Linked DNA regions of Arabidopsis thaliana. The protein of the gene in region 3 interacts with the protein of the main gene of each other region in a biochemical or structural test. Each region holds a gene or a part of one and is shown on either strand. Other genes may lie near its edges.

Region 1 (3,755 bases), on a different chromosome or scaffold from region 3:
AAGTCAACCAAACATGCATAATGCTCCGGACCAGGACTAACCCCAAAAACAGTTTTCATTCTATTGAAATACTCCATGCCCTGATCAATCATTCCTGAATGACTACAAGCATATAATACAACAAGTAATGTAACACCATCAAGCTTAAAACCTATTCTCCTCATTTCATCAAAGATTCCAAGAGCTTCTTCTCCATAACCATGCATACCATAACCCGTCATTAGAGATGTCCAAGTAACTTCATTTTTCGCCATCATATTGTCAAATACAAGGCGGGCATCACTGATGCTTCCACATTTTGCATACATGTCTATTAGACAGTTTGATACGAACAGCGGTACTGCATTCTGCTGGTTGCGCAACGCATAAGCATGAATCTGCTTGCCAATTCTTAGTGCAGCCAAACTGGCACATGCCACGAGGGCACATGATATGGTAAAAGCATTTGGTCTTGTTTGGCAATCTTCCTCAAACATCTCAGATAAAAGTTCGAGAGCTTTATTTGCATCCCCGTGCTGGGAGTATCCACCTATCATCACAGTCCAAGTCACAACATCCCTTTCCTTGGGGGAAAGTGAATCAAACATAGCACGTGCAGTATCAACCTTTTTGCACTTAGCGTACATGTCAATCAGTTGATTGATTACCATATTCTCATCACCATGACCGTTCTTACGCAAGTCTATGGGATATTTGATGGCATAACAATGAATCTCTTTACCATGCATCAATGCTCCAACAGAAGCACAACCCGAAAGAACCGAAATAAGCGTGACTTCATTTGGTTTTATCCCAGAAGACAACATCTGCCTACACACACCCAAAGCTTCATATCCAAGTCCCCGTTGAGCATACCCTGAAATAGCAGCACTCCAAGTAACAACATCCATTTTTATTTTCTCTTCCTGCATCTTCTCAAATAACCTAACAGCATCTTCAAACCTTCCAATCTGTGAATACCCAGCAACCATAGCATTCCAAGATACTACGTCCTTCACTGACATGTTCGAAAACACCGTGTTTGCCTCATCCATCATCCCACACTTTGCATACATATCCACCAAGCAATTCCCTACAAACATATTCTGTATCATCTCACTTGTGACTGCAAAACAATGCAATTGCTTCCCTAGTGAATGAGTTCCTAGGGAAGCACAAGGAGGAAGAACATTCACAAGGGTAATATTATCAGGTCTACATCCGAATTCATTGGTCATCCTGCTAAACATTTCAAGCGCCACCTTAGGTTTGCCTAACTTTGCATAACTTTCTATTATAGAGTTCCACGATACAACATCCCAAACAGACATTTCGTCGAACACCTTCCGTGCATCACTCAATGAACGACAACGGGAATACATAGCAACAAGCGCATTCCCAACAAAGACATTGGAGATAAATCCAGTTACCAGAGAAAGCGCGTGAGCAGATTCTCCACAACGAACGGAGGATATCTCGCCGCAAGCCTTGAAGACGAAGGGGAATGTGTAATTATCCGGCGTCCATGACAGAGAATGCATAAGGCCGAACAAATAGAGACATTTATTGGCGCAGCCATTGTCGCCGTAGCTGCGAATGAGTGAATTCCAATGGTAGACACCAGCGTCAGATGGAGGAAAACGACGGAGGAGAGATACGGCATGAGATAAGCAACCGACGGAGATATAGGTGGAAATGAGGTGGGAAGTGAGATTCAAGGTTAGGATTCCGAAAGAGAGGAGTTTCTGGTGAATAAGCTTGACCTGAGAGATGGTTTTGCATTTGTGAATAAACGGCGGTGTTATCTCCGGCGCCGATGTCGAGAAGAGAGAGACTTTAATGTACTGGTGAGATTTTGCGGCGGCGTTGGGGATGAGAAGGCGGCGGATCATACTACTGTAACTAGAGTGGCGGGTGATTTCTGCGTTTAAACTAAACAAATCAATTCGGTTATATCCCGGTTTTAGATTGGAAATTTGAAGAAAGTAATGAAACCGGATGTGAAAAGAAGAAGAAAGTATAATAGACCGATTAAAATTTAAAGCGAATTTCGGTTCGGTTTATGTGCTAAGCGACCTGCGTTTGCGGTTGAGTGGACGCTTTGGATAGCGTTTGTAGCTCAGCTTTGAATTGTTTTGAAATTTTCAAAATCGCAGTTTATAGTTTCGAGAACCCAGAAGACCTTTAATCTCCCGCCTCTTTCACACCATCAGACTCCATTATCGAAGCTCGTTCACTCTTCTCTCTCTCCAAATTCGAGAGAAAGGAGGAGGAAGGTGTAATGCCGCGTAAACCTAGACATCGTGTACCGGAGATTCTATGGAGGTTATTCGGAAACAGAGCCAGGAATTTAAACGACGCAATAGTAGATCTGATTCCTAACCGGAATATCCAGCCGGAGCAATGCCGATGCCGGGGTCAAGGTTGTCTCGGTTGCAGCAGCGATAAACCGGCGTTTCTGCTGCGTTCCGATGATCCCATTCACTACCGTAAACTTCTTCACCGTTGCTTCGTTGTACTTCACGAACAAACCCCTCCGCTTCTGGATTTCTCTCCAACATCTTGGTGGTCACAGAGAGAGGTAAGATTCTTCTTCCCACTGTACTATACATTGCTTTGAGTGCTTAATTTGAGATATTTCAAGACGTGGCTACTCCTTATAAAATGCCTCTATGTTATCTTATTTTGTATGATGTTGCTGATTTCTAAACATTTTGCTTCAATTGAGTTTATCAGATTGTTGAAAGGATTATTGAAATGATGCAATCTGGATGTGATTGCCAAAATGTGATATGTGCCAGATATGATAAGGTGAATTCTTCTTCTTCCTTCTCAAACTCAATGTAGAGTGCTGATTTTCTTAGCCTAATGATTTCTCGTCTCCTTTGACAGTATGATCAGTCGAGCCCTATTTTGGAGCTATTGACAAGTTCATCTTGGGAGTTTCTTCTCAAGCGGGTTTGTTCTCAAACCCTTTTGATGATTTACTTTCAATATTCGAGTTTGCGGTCACTAATATTCAAGTTCCCTTGTTTATAGGTCGGTCATGACGTCATGGTTTATCTTCTACAGCAAACATCAATATTCTTACCATTACTAGGGAAAAAACACCAGCAAGTGTCTGGACCTCCTCTATGTATCAAGCATAAGCGTGAGTCTCAGAATTAAACTTGTATCCGAGCTCTTCTGTTGGCTTTCTTTTGAAACTTCCACTTTCTTGTTGGTTCTCTGAATACTTATGATTTGTCTGTGACTGCTTGGTTATCGATTATCAACTTCTGGTTTTTAGTTCATATTAACTTAGTAAAGTTTTCCTTCTCCATGGTATAGGGACATTGTCAGTCCATGAAAACAAAAGAAAGAGGGATGACAACGTTCAGCCACCAACGAAAAGGCAGTGGCTTTCTTCAGCTGTCGATGACTGTCCTAAGGATGACTCTGCAACTATTACGCCCATAGTTGGCGAGGATGTAGACCAACATAGAGAGAAAAAAACTACTAAGCGTTCAAGAATATATCTTAAGCGTCGGCGAAAGCAGAGAAAGGTCAATTTCAAAAAAGTTGACTGTAATGCTCCTTGTATAACTCCCAGTACAAATGGTAAAGTCTCAACTGGTAATGACGAAATGAATCTGCACATTGGTATAAATGGAAGTCTCACTGATTTTGTAAAGCAGGTAATGTTCGTAACAATGATATTGATCAATCAAGTTTAAGTTGAAAATGCACAAGTTTAAACATAAAGTTATTGCTTAAAATTACTAAGAGACGTGTAT
Region 2 (3,755 bases), on a different chromosome or scaffold from region 3:
GTCCCAATCTGTCTACTAATCCTATGGAAATAAATGTTGATAGGACAAGAACAGCTCCTGTTAAAGCTGATGAATAGAGAGATGCGTTTCCTCCAAACCCCATTGTCTGGAACAGAACAGGTGCGTAGAAGAGAATGGAGTTTATCCCTGTGAGTATCTGAAACATTGGCATGCAAATAGCCATAACTAGCTGAGGCCTGTGTCGTTTCTGCAAGATGTTTCTGAATGGATGTTTGATGGAATTCGCAAGCTCACTCGCATCTACCATGTCTTGAAGCTCGGCGTTGACGTTTTCTGTTCCTCTTAGCTTCACTAAGACTCGTCGACCTCTCTCTGTTAATCCTCTTTCGACCAAACTGTTTGGTGTCTCGGGTAAGAAATACCCGCCAAGCGTCATAAGCAGAGCTGGAAAAGCAGCTAAACCAAGAGAGAGTCTCCATCCCCAAGGCTTAAGCTGTTGAGTACCGTAATTAACCATGTTCGCTGTAAAGATCCCGATAGTTGTAGCTAGCTGAAACATCATGTTTAAACCACCTCGTAGATGAGTTGGTGCCACTTCTGATAAATACAAAGGAACCGCCTGAAAGCAAAAACCAAAGCAAGGTAACTTTCATTAGAGATGAGATTGGTTTATTATTGGTGACACCAACTAAACAATTGTCTAACCTGATTTCCAAATCCAATACCAACACCAAGCATGATCCGTCCGGCAAGAAGCATAGCTAAGTTCACAGCTCCAGCATTCAAACCAGATCCAATAAGAAAGCTGATTCCACCACAAACAATACTCGCACGCCTACCGTAGTTCCTAGTGATGGGTGAAGCCACGAGAGTCGAAACCAAACCAGCTAAGTAGAGTGAAGAAGTGAAAGCAGCTAAGCCTTGATTATCATATTTGCAGTAATTACTTTCATGAGCTTGCTTCTTCTTCTCATAAACCGTGTGGAAAAACTCCTCAAGAAACTCATCCATCGATGTAACTCCTCCTGCATACAAACAAAAAACCATTTCAGCCATTGTTTGATAAGATTATTAAGAAATTGGATTCAAAAGATGAAGAAAAGAACCTGAGATTCCAATGTCATATCCAAAGATGGATCCACCAATAGCTGCAACAAGGCAAGCGATTATAACATAACTAGTGACTTTCCCTTGGTATTGTTCTGCTCTCTCCTTAGCCACACCGGTCGGACCAAACGACCCTCCTGCCATTTTCTTTTCTTCTTCTTCTTCTTCTTCTTCTGCTACTACTTTGCTTCTTTTTAAGAGTTTGTTGCAACGGTTGACTTTTTTTCTTGCTTTTACTCAAATTCCAGAATCTGAGAGACAACGAAACAAAAAGGGTTATACACATTTACATCTTCACGTGGTTAGATAGATTTCAATTTGGTTAGGTTTTGGGAAAATTTTAAATGTGAAGTTTTGCCACTTTGAGATTTGTGATAATTGCGTATGGATTCGTGTTTGGTACATAATTGTTTGGAATTAAGTTCCAACAAGTAAATACGTCATTTTCTTGACCTTATCTTCACATAACAAATTAAAAATTTAATACTGATTTTGCATGTCTTCCTCCTACTTTGATCTCTATTTCCACAAAAATCATCAATGCTCGTTGGAATATTGTCAGAATATACTAATGCTATATAAGAAAACAAATACAAAAAGAGGTTTTATACTTTTTTGGTCAAATGTCATCTTCATAATAAAAAAAAAGATTACGATCTTATCCCGTTCTAACAAGTAACACCTCGGAAAAAAAAGAAATCAAAATCCTTCCTAGTAAAAAAAAAAAAAAAAGTTGGTTTCAGACAGAAAGTGAAGAATCAAGACAAGTGTGATGATTTTCGTCATAGGTTGAAAGAAAACAGATTAAAAAAAAAAGAAGAGGACTTACAGGAGAAAGAAGAAGGAAGATGTAACGATTTGTTGTAGACTGGGAAATGATTCAGACTTGTGTGTGCTATTTATTCCATGGATTTTTTGATCGCCTACTATGAAGGCGATGTTAAAGATGATGTTGACCAAGTTTTGATCAAAGTCGAATACAGAGAGACTAAATATACAACAACAAAAAAAAAAATCAAAAGCTTTAAATTCACACACACAAATTTCGATAGTAGCTATGGATTTAAGACAAGTGTAAGAAGAAATCACACTAGTTTTCAACGTAAGGAGGATGATGAAGATGACATTATTGTATCCACATTTGTCACCCATTTTTTGGAAACAGATGATAATATTATTAAATCTTTGGTTAATTAAATACTAAGGGAAAGAAATAACACAAAAGTGGTTGTAGTATAGCGGTTAGTATCCCACGTTGTGGCCGTGGGGACCCGGGCTCGAATCCCGGCAGCCACACTTTTTGTTACCTCTTCTTTTTTATTTCCAGCAGGGGTAGTTTCGACATTACATTAATCACGTGATCATTAGATCTGGACCGTTCATTTTACTCCCCGCCATTTCTCTCTATAATACTTTTCCCGCCTAAACTCATCGTCATCTACAACCCTTTTACCGCCCAATTTTGCAGTCACTGGTTCATTCCTTTCTCTTCTTCCTCTTCCACTCTCTCTCTCGACCCAAGTTTTGAAACCATGAAAGACCACGATTTCGACGGCGACAAAGGTTACATTCTCTCTTCTTCTCCGTTCTCGATAATCTTTTCCCTCTTTTTTCGCTGAGTTTTGATTCTCACTTTTTTTCTTCTTGTATATAGGGCTTGCCAAGGGATTTCTCGAGAATTTCGCCGACGCTAATGGCAGATCTAAGTACATGGAGATTCTCGTAAGTCTCATTTCCAATATCTTCCACCAATTTCTCTCTTCTAGGGTTTTCGCGAATCTCCCTAATTTTAGGGTTTTATGTTCTATTTTATGAATTTGTGTAGCAAGAGGTTTCAAATCGTAAGATTCGAGCTATTCAAGTCGATCTCGATGACTTATTCAATGTGAGTTTTTTTTTGTTTCTCTCTAATGTTGTTTCTGTTTTGGATGTTGCTATTGTAGAAGCCACTCATCTCTTTTGATATTGTGTAGTATAAAGATGAAAGTGAGGAGTTTCTCGGACGGTTGACGGAAAACACTCGCCGATATGTTTCAATTTTCTCCGCCGCTGTTGACGAGTTGTTACCCGAACCAACGGAAGCGTTTCCAGATGATGATCATGATATTCTCATGACTCAGAGAGCAGATGATGGGACTGATAATCCAGATGTTTCTGATCCTCATCAGCAGATTCCTTCTGAGATTAAAAGATATTAGTAAGTTTTGTCTGAGTCTATTTGCTGGACATAAGCTTTAGGGAATGAGTTTTACAATAGTTTGCTAATGAATTTACTTTTATTCAGTGAGGTTTATTTTAAAGCTCCTTCAAAGGGAAGGCCATCTACCATCAGGGAGGTTAAGGCTTCACACATTGGGCAACTTGTTAGGATATCTGGTATTGTGACCCGTTGTTCCGATGTCAAGCCATTGATGGCGGTTGCTGTTTACACATGTGAAGATTGTGGTCATGAGATTTACCAGGTACAACTATGCTTTTGCCAGATTGTAGTTTCTTTTTTATTTTGTTAACTACTAACTCTGATTATTTTCTTTTACATGTCAAATCAGGAAGTTACATCTAGAGTCTTCATGCCTTTGTTTAAGTGTCCTTCTAGTCGCTGTCGTCTTAATAGTAAAGCCGGGAATCCTATTCTTCAGCTCAGAGCATCAAAGTTTCTAAAGTTTCAGGAGGTTCTGTTTCTGGTC
Region 3 (3,755 bases):
CACTCGTCAGTGAACAATTATATCTTTAAAAAGAATATCTAAATGATTTAGAATGACTAAATGTTCTTTAAGAATCAGATGGATGAAACTTTGTGGACAACAATCGTACCAAAAGCACCACATATAGCTTTTCCAATTCTTAACATGTAAGACCAAAAGATTCACAACTCTCATCATAACAATCTGCACAATCCACGATGCGTCATCCATAATGTGCCATCCATATAAACATTCCATTATCGTCATCCACATTGTTAGAACTAAGATACAAACATTCCATAAACAAGCAAAATCTAAAATCTAAAAAGCCAACAATCATATGATCAGTTTAACGTCATCAAATTCAAGAGAGTGGCCAAGTGCTATGCAATGATAAGAGTATCCATATACATGTGAACAAATTGTCAAAACAAATTGGTGATTGCAGCTAATGTAAAAAGTCATATGGATATAGAGGTGTGGATAGGTGTGTGATCTAAACACATCATTTCTAGATCCGGAAGATGTATCTGTTGGGAAACGATAGCTCCAATAAAACCAAATATCACATCTTCCCTAGCATTTTTGAGATAGAAAGAGATTAACACAAAGTTATTGTTAGCCAAAGTTTTTGAAGACCAACTACGTATCTATAGGCTGGAAATAGAGCAAAAATTAAACAAGGAATTCAAGGTGTTCCCAGAGAAGGGTATTAGAATTTTAACTGGAAAACTAGATGCATTTTAACAAATCAAATTTCAATGTCAATTCACAACATTCATATCACTGGATCCTAACTTGGGATTGAGTCAACTACTTAATTTAAAATTCTTCAAGTAATTTGTCAAATCGATCCTAACTTGGGATTGAATCCTATCTTACTATTTATCAATTTAACATTCAATCTTAAGAAACAGATAAAGCCAAGTAAAAATCCAATACGAGAGAGGATAAAATTTGGTTAAAGATGCTCTTACCTCTCCCAAACAATGATTCAGTTTTTCTTCTTCCCCAATTCAAACATCCTTAGTGATCTGAGTTGAGACCAATATTTTCTGTCTTAATCTTCGGCGAATTGGATTTCTAATGTTAATAATCCTTCGATAAGAAACGATGGTGGTGGCCATAAGTTTTCCAGCGAATGGAGAAAAATATACAAAAGTAAAAAAAAAAAAAAAAAATTAGGGTAAACATAGATTTTGATTGTGAATTTAGGATAACCTCATAATTTTCATGATTTTGTAAAAATTATAGAGAACGACAATGATTTTGAAAGAGAGATTGAAAATGATGAAAAACAAAAGAATATGGAAGAGAGAGATGATAAAAGGGGGATAGTTTCTTACCCACACGATCTCATCAAAAATAAGTTTAATAATTATTGTGTCATCATTACTTCAGGGGTAAATTAGTCCAATTTCTCCTCAAAAAGATGGCAAAGTGCCTAATCCCTGAAAAGTGCCTCAAAAGGAATAAAATTCTTTAAAAGTGTCTAAACGTGTCACATTCCCTTATCATTTTAGTCCTTTAATTTTTATATATTCAAAATATTTCAACACTTTGACTCGTAATCTACAGATTAAAAATAAAGAGACTTATCTATCTCTTCGTAATGCATTGATTGATCACATATGAGAGCATTACGAAAATAATTTTATTGAGTAATTTGTAATTTATAAGTTAATTTATGTATTTTTAATTTTTATTTATATGTATTTTATTTATAAATGTATTGTTTTGTTAATTAAGATTATGTGTAATATTTTAATGTATGTTTTAGTGTTATTATTAAAGTTATATAGTTTTAAAATAATTATGAACAATATAAAGACTATAATGCAAAACACATATTTTAGAAACTTCATATTTAAAGTATACTCTTGGAGAAGAAACTACTCATACTTTATATTTGAAGTTTACATACTCTATATATAAAATATCTTTTGGATATGCTCTAAATTATATTGGATTATCTTTTAGAGAACCTAAAACTTTATATTTGAGGGATAGAGTATCTCTTGGAGATGCTCGTGGTAGTTCAATATTGTACCTTAACTGTAACGTAAATGTTGTTATCTTTACTTAGACGTCTTTGATATGTAAAAATTCTATCTCTGTATCCTGTTTGTACTGGCCTCTCCAAGGTTCACCATTATTGGATGATGCACTGGGTTGATATATATAACATAACTTTTTGGCAAAAAAAAGAAACAAGAAAAAAAAAACAGTCTCTTTGGCGATAGCGATTTGGTCGGAGATTTCTCCGATTACATTGATTGGGACTTTAGTGAATCTTCACAGAAGCAACTTCACGGAGAACGGCGAGAAGAATGTGGAATTGAGAGCGTCGTTAGAGGATCGAGAAGCGTCGGCCGTTTCACTGGAGAGATCTAGTGTTGTTCGTTGATGAAGGGGTTCTAATTTCGATACCTAACGGAATTGATCATTGATAAGGTCTCATTCCGGTGGCAATCGTCGTCGCCGGAAACAATGTGCACAGATACGACCTTGAGGTTAGTTTATTCCTTTAAAATCTAATCACAACAAAATATATCATTTGTATTCATGGGATTATGTTCATTGTAATGGATTTGAGGATTTGGTAGATAAAAGTAGTAAAAATTGTGGATTGAAGAATTTTCTTGTGAGAGATGGTTGATGTAAGGGAAGGATCATATTCTGGAACATTTGTTAGCTTTGGTTACTTCTCACCATTGTGATGAAATTTGCTATATCCAGGGGATGATTCAAGTGAGAGAAAGATAAAGTTTTTTTGCCTTCAGTCTGATTCTGCATTGAATACTTCCAGTGGGCTGCAGGTTAGTGCTTAGTGTTCTTTTGATATCCTTGCATTGTCATTCCGTTGATGGCTATTCTATTGCCTCCAATGTATACTCATTCCACTTATTGGCTCCAATGTATACTCATTCCACTTATTGCCTCCAATGTATACTCACTCCACTTATTGGCTATGGGCTGCAGGTTGGTGCTTAGTGTTCTGTTGATACTCATTCCACATATTACCACTCTCTAATTTTGTGACGTCAGGATAATACTTAAAAACGTTGTAGCAAAGCGGGAGATGGCGAAGAAGAGAGAGAGTCCCAAGCTCATCAAAATCAAAGACGCCATTAAACTCATCAACCAACAAGTCAGTCTCATTGGTATCGTCCTTGAACAAAGAGAACCAAAACAATGTCGCAACAATGGTACTTATCCAAAAAAAACCAAAATTTGAGTTAAATACATAGAATTTTGCTTGAATCTGAATCTTAGTTGGTTTGTTTTGTGAAAGCCCTAACATTTGACCCAACAAAATCTGAAAGTTGGATTTTTTTCTTAGATTGGATTTGTACGCTACGGATAATTGATGATACGTATCCAAGTCCTGGACTTACTGTTAATGTATTTAGTAAGACTCTTGAACAACTTCCTCAAATCAAGAACCACGACGACATGATTCTGTTTACTCGCATTAAGGTACAAAGACCTCTTCATTTTCCTTCTGTGTTTTGTGCAGGAGGTTATAAAGTTTGGATTTTTATTGTGTAGATGCAAACTTTTGATAGTGGAGAAAGAGTAAATGCTGCTTGTAGTAGATGGGTTTCTTCCTTTGCCTTGTTCGAAGGTGTGGATTTTGTTTGTTACCAATGTAGTACCAATTTTCATGAAGAAGAAGCATTATACAAGAGTGCCATGGATGATTTACGCAAAGTTTTTGCGGGTTGTAGCCAAGTTATTAAAGGTAACACTGTGAGCTTCTTTTGCTTTCAACT

Evidence for each region.
Region 1: the proteins of AtPOT1a (region 3) and TERT form a complex in vitro, tested with the Arabidopsis thaliana proteins (one study listed by BioGRID).
Region 2: the proteins of AtPOT1a (region 3) and PRL form a complex in vitro, tested with the Arabidopsis thaliana proteins (one study listed by BioGRID).

The regions. Positions count from the first base shown.
Region 1 is NC_003076.8:5,541,950-5,545,704, reverse strand, and holds the start of TERT (telomerase reverse transcriptase), read left to right. Parts: upstream 1-2,145; 5' UTR 2,146-2,260; coding exon 2,261-2,560; intron 2,561-2,715; coding exon 2,716-2,790; intron 2,791-2,871; coding exon 2,872-2,937; intron 2,938-3,018; coding exon 3,019-3,130; intron 3,131-3,309; coding exon 3,310-3,656; intron 3,657-3,755. Other genes in the region: AT5G16860 (Tetratricopeptide repeat (TPR)-like superfamily protein), read right to left, coding at 1-1,871. UniProt on the Arabidopsis thaliana protein: Telomerase is a ribonucleoprotein enzyme essential for the replication of chromosome termini in most eukaryotes. It elongates telomeres.
Region 2 is NC_003075.7:898,884-902,638, forward strand, and holds the start of PRL (Minichromosome maintenance (MCM2/3/5) family protein), read left to right. Parts: upstream 1-1,752; 5' UTR 1,753-1,800; intron 1,801-1,871; 5' UTR 1,872-1,918; exon of another isoform or gene 1,919-2,189; intron 2,190-2,292; exon of another isoform or gene 2,293-2,364; intron 2,365-2,491; exon of another isoform or gene 2,492-2,536; 5' UTR 2,537-2,600; coding exon 2,601-2,631; intron 2,632-2,722; coding exon 2,723-2,790; intron 2,791-2,893; coding exon 2,894-2,953; intron 2,954-3,041; coding exon 3,042-3,265; intron 3,266-3,352; coding exon 3,353-3,530; intron 3,531-3,617; coding exon 3,618-3,740; intron 3,741-3,755. Other genes in the region: STP7 (sugar transporter protein 7), read right to left, coding at 1-580, 667-986, 1,068-1,212. UniProt on the Arabidopsis thaliana protein: Probable component of the MCM2-7 complex (MCM complex) that may function as a DNA helicase and which is essential to undergo a single round of replication initiation and elongation per cell cycle in eukaryotic cells.
Region 3 is NC_003071.7:1,888,753-1,892,507, forward strand, and holds the start of AtPOT1a (Nucleic acid-binding, OB-fold-like protein), read left to right. Parts: upstream 1-1,931; 5' UTR 1,932-2,492; intron 2,493-2,718; 5' UTR 2,719-2,798; intron 2,799-2,961; 5' UTR 2,962-3,061; coding exon 3,062-3,188; intron 3,189-3,322; coding exon 3,323-3,459; intron 3,460-3,531; coding exon 3,532-3,724; intron 3,725-3,755. UniProt on the Arabidopsis thaliana protein: Component of the telomerase ribonucleoprotein (RNP) complex that is essential for the positive regulation of telomere length. Binds RNA non-specifically. Binds specifically single-stranded telomeric DNA.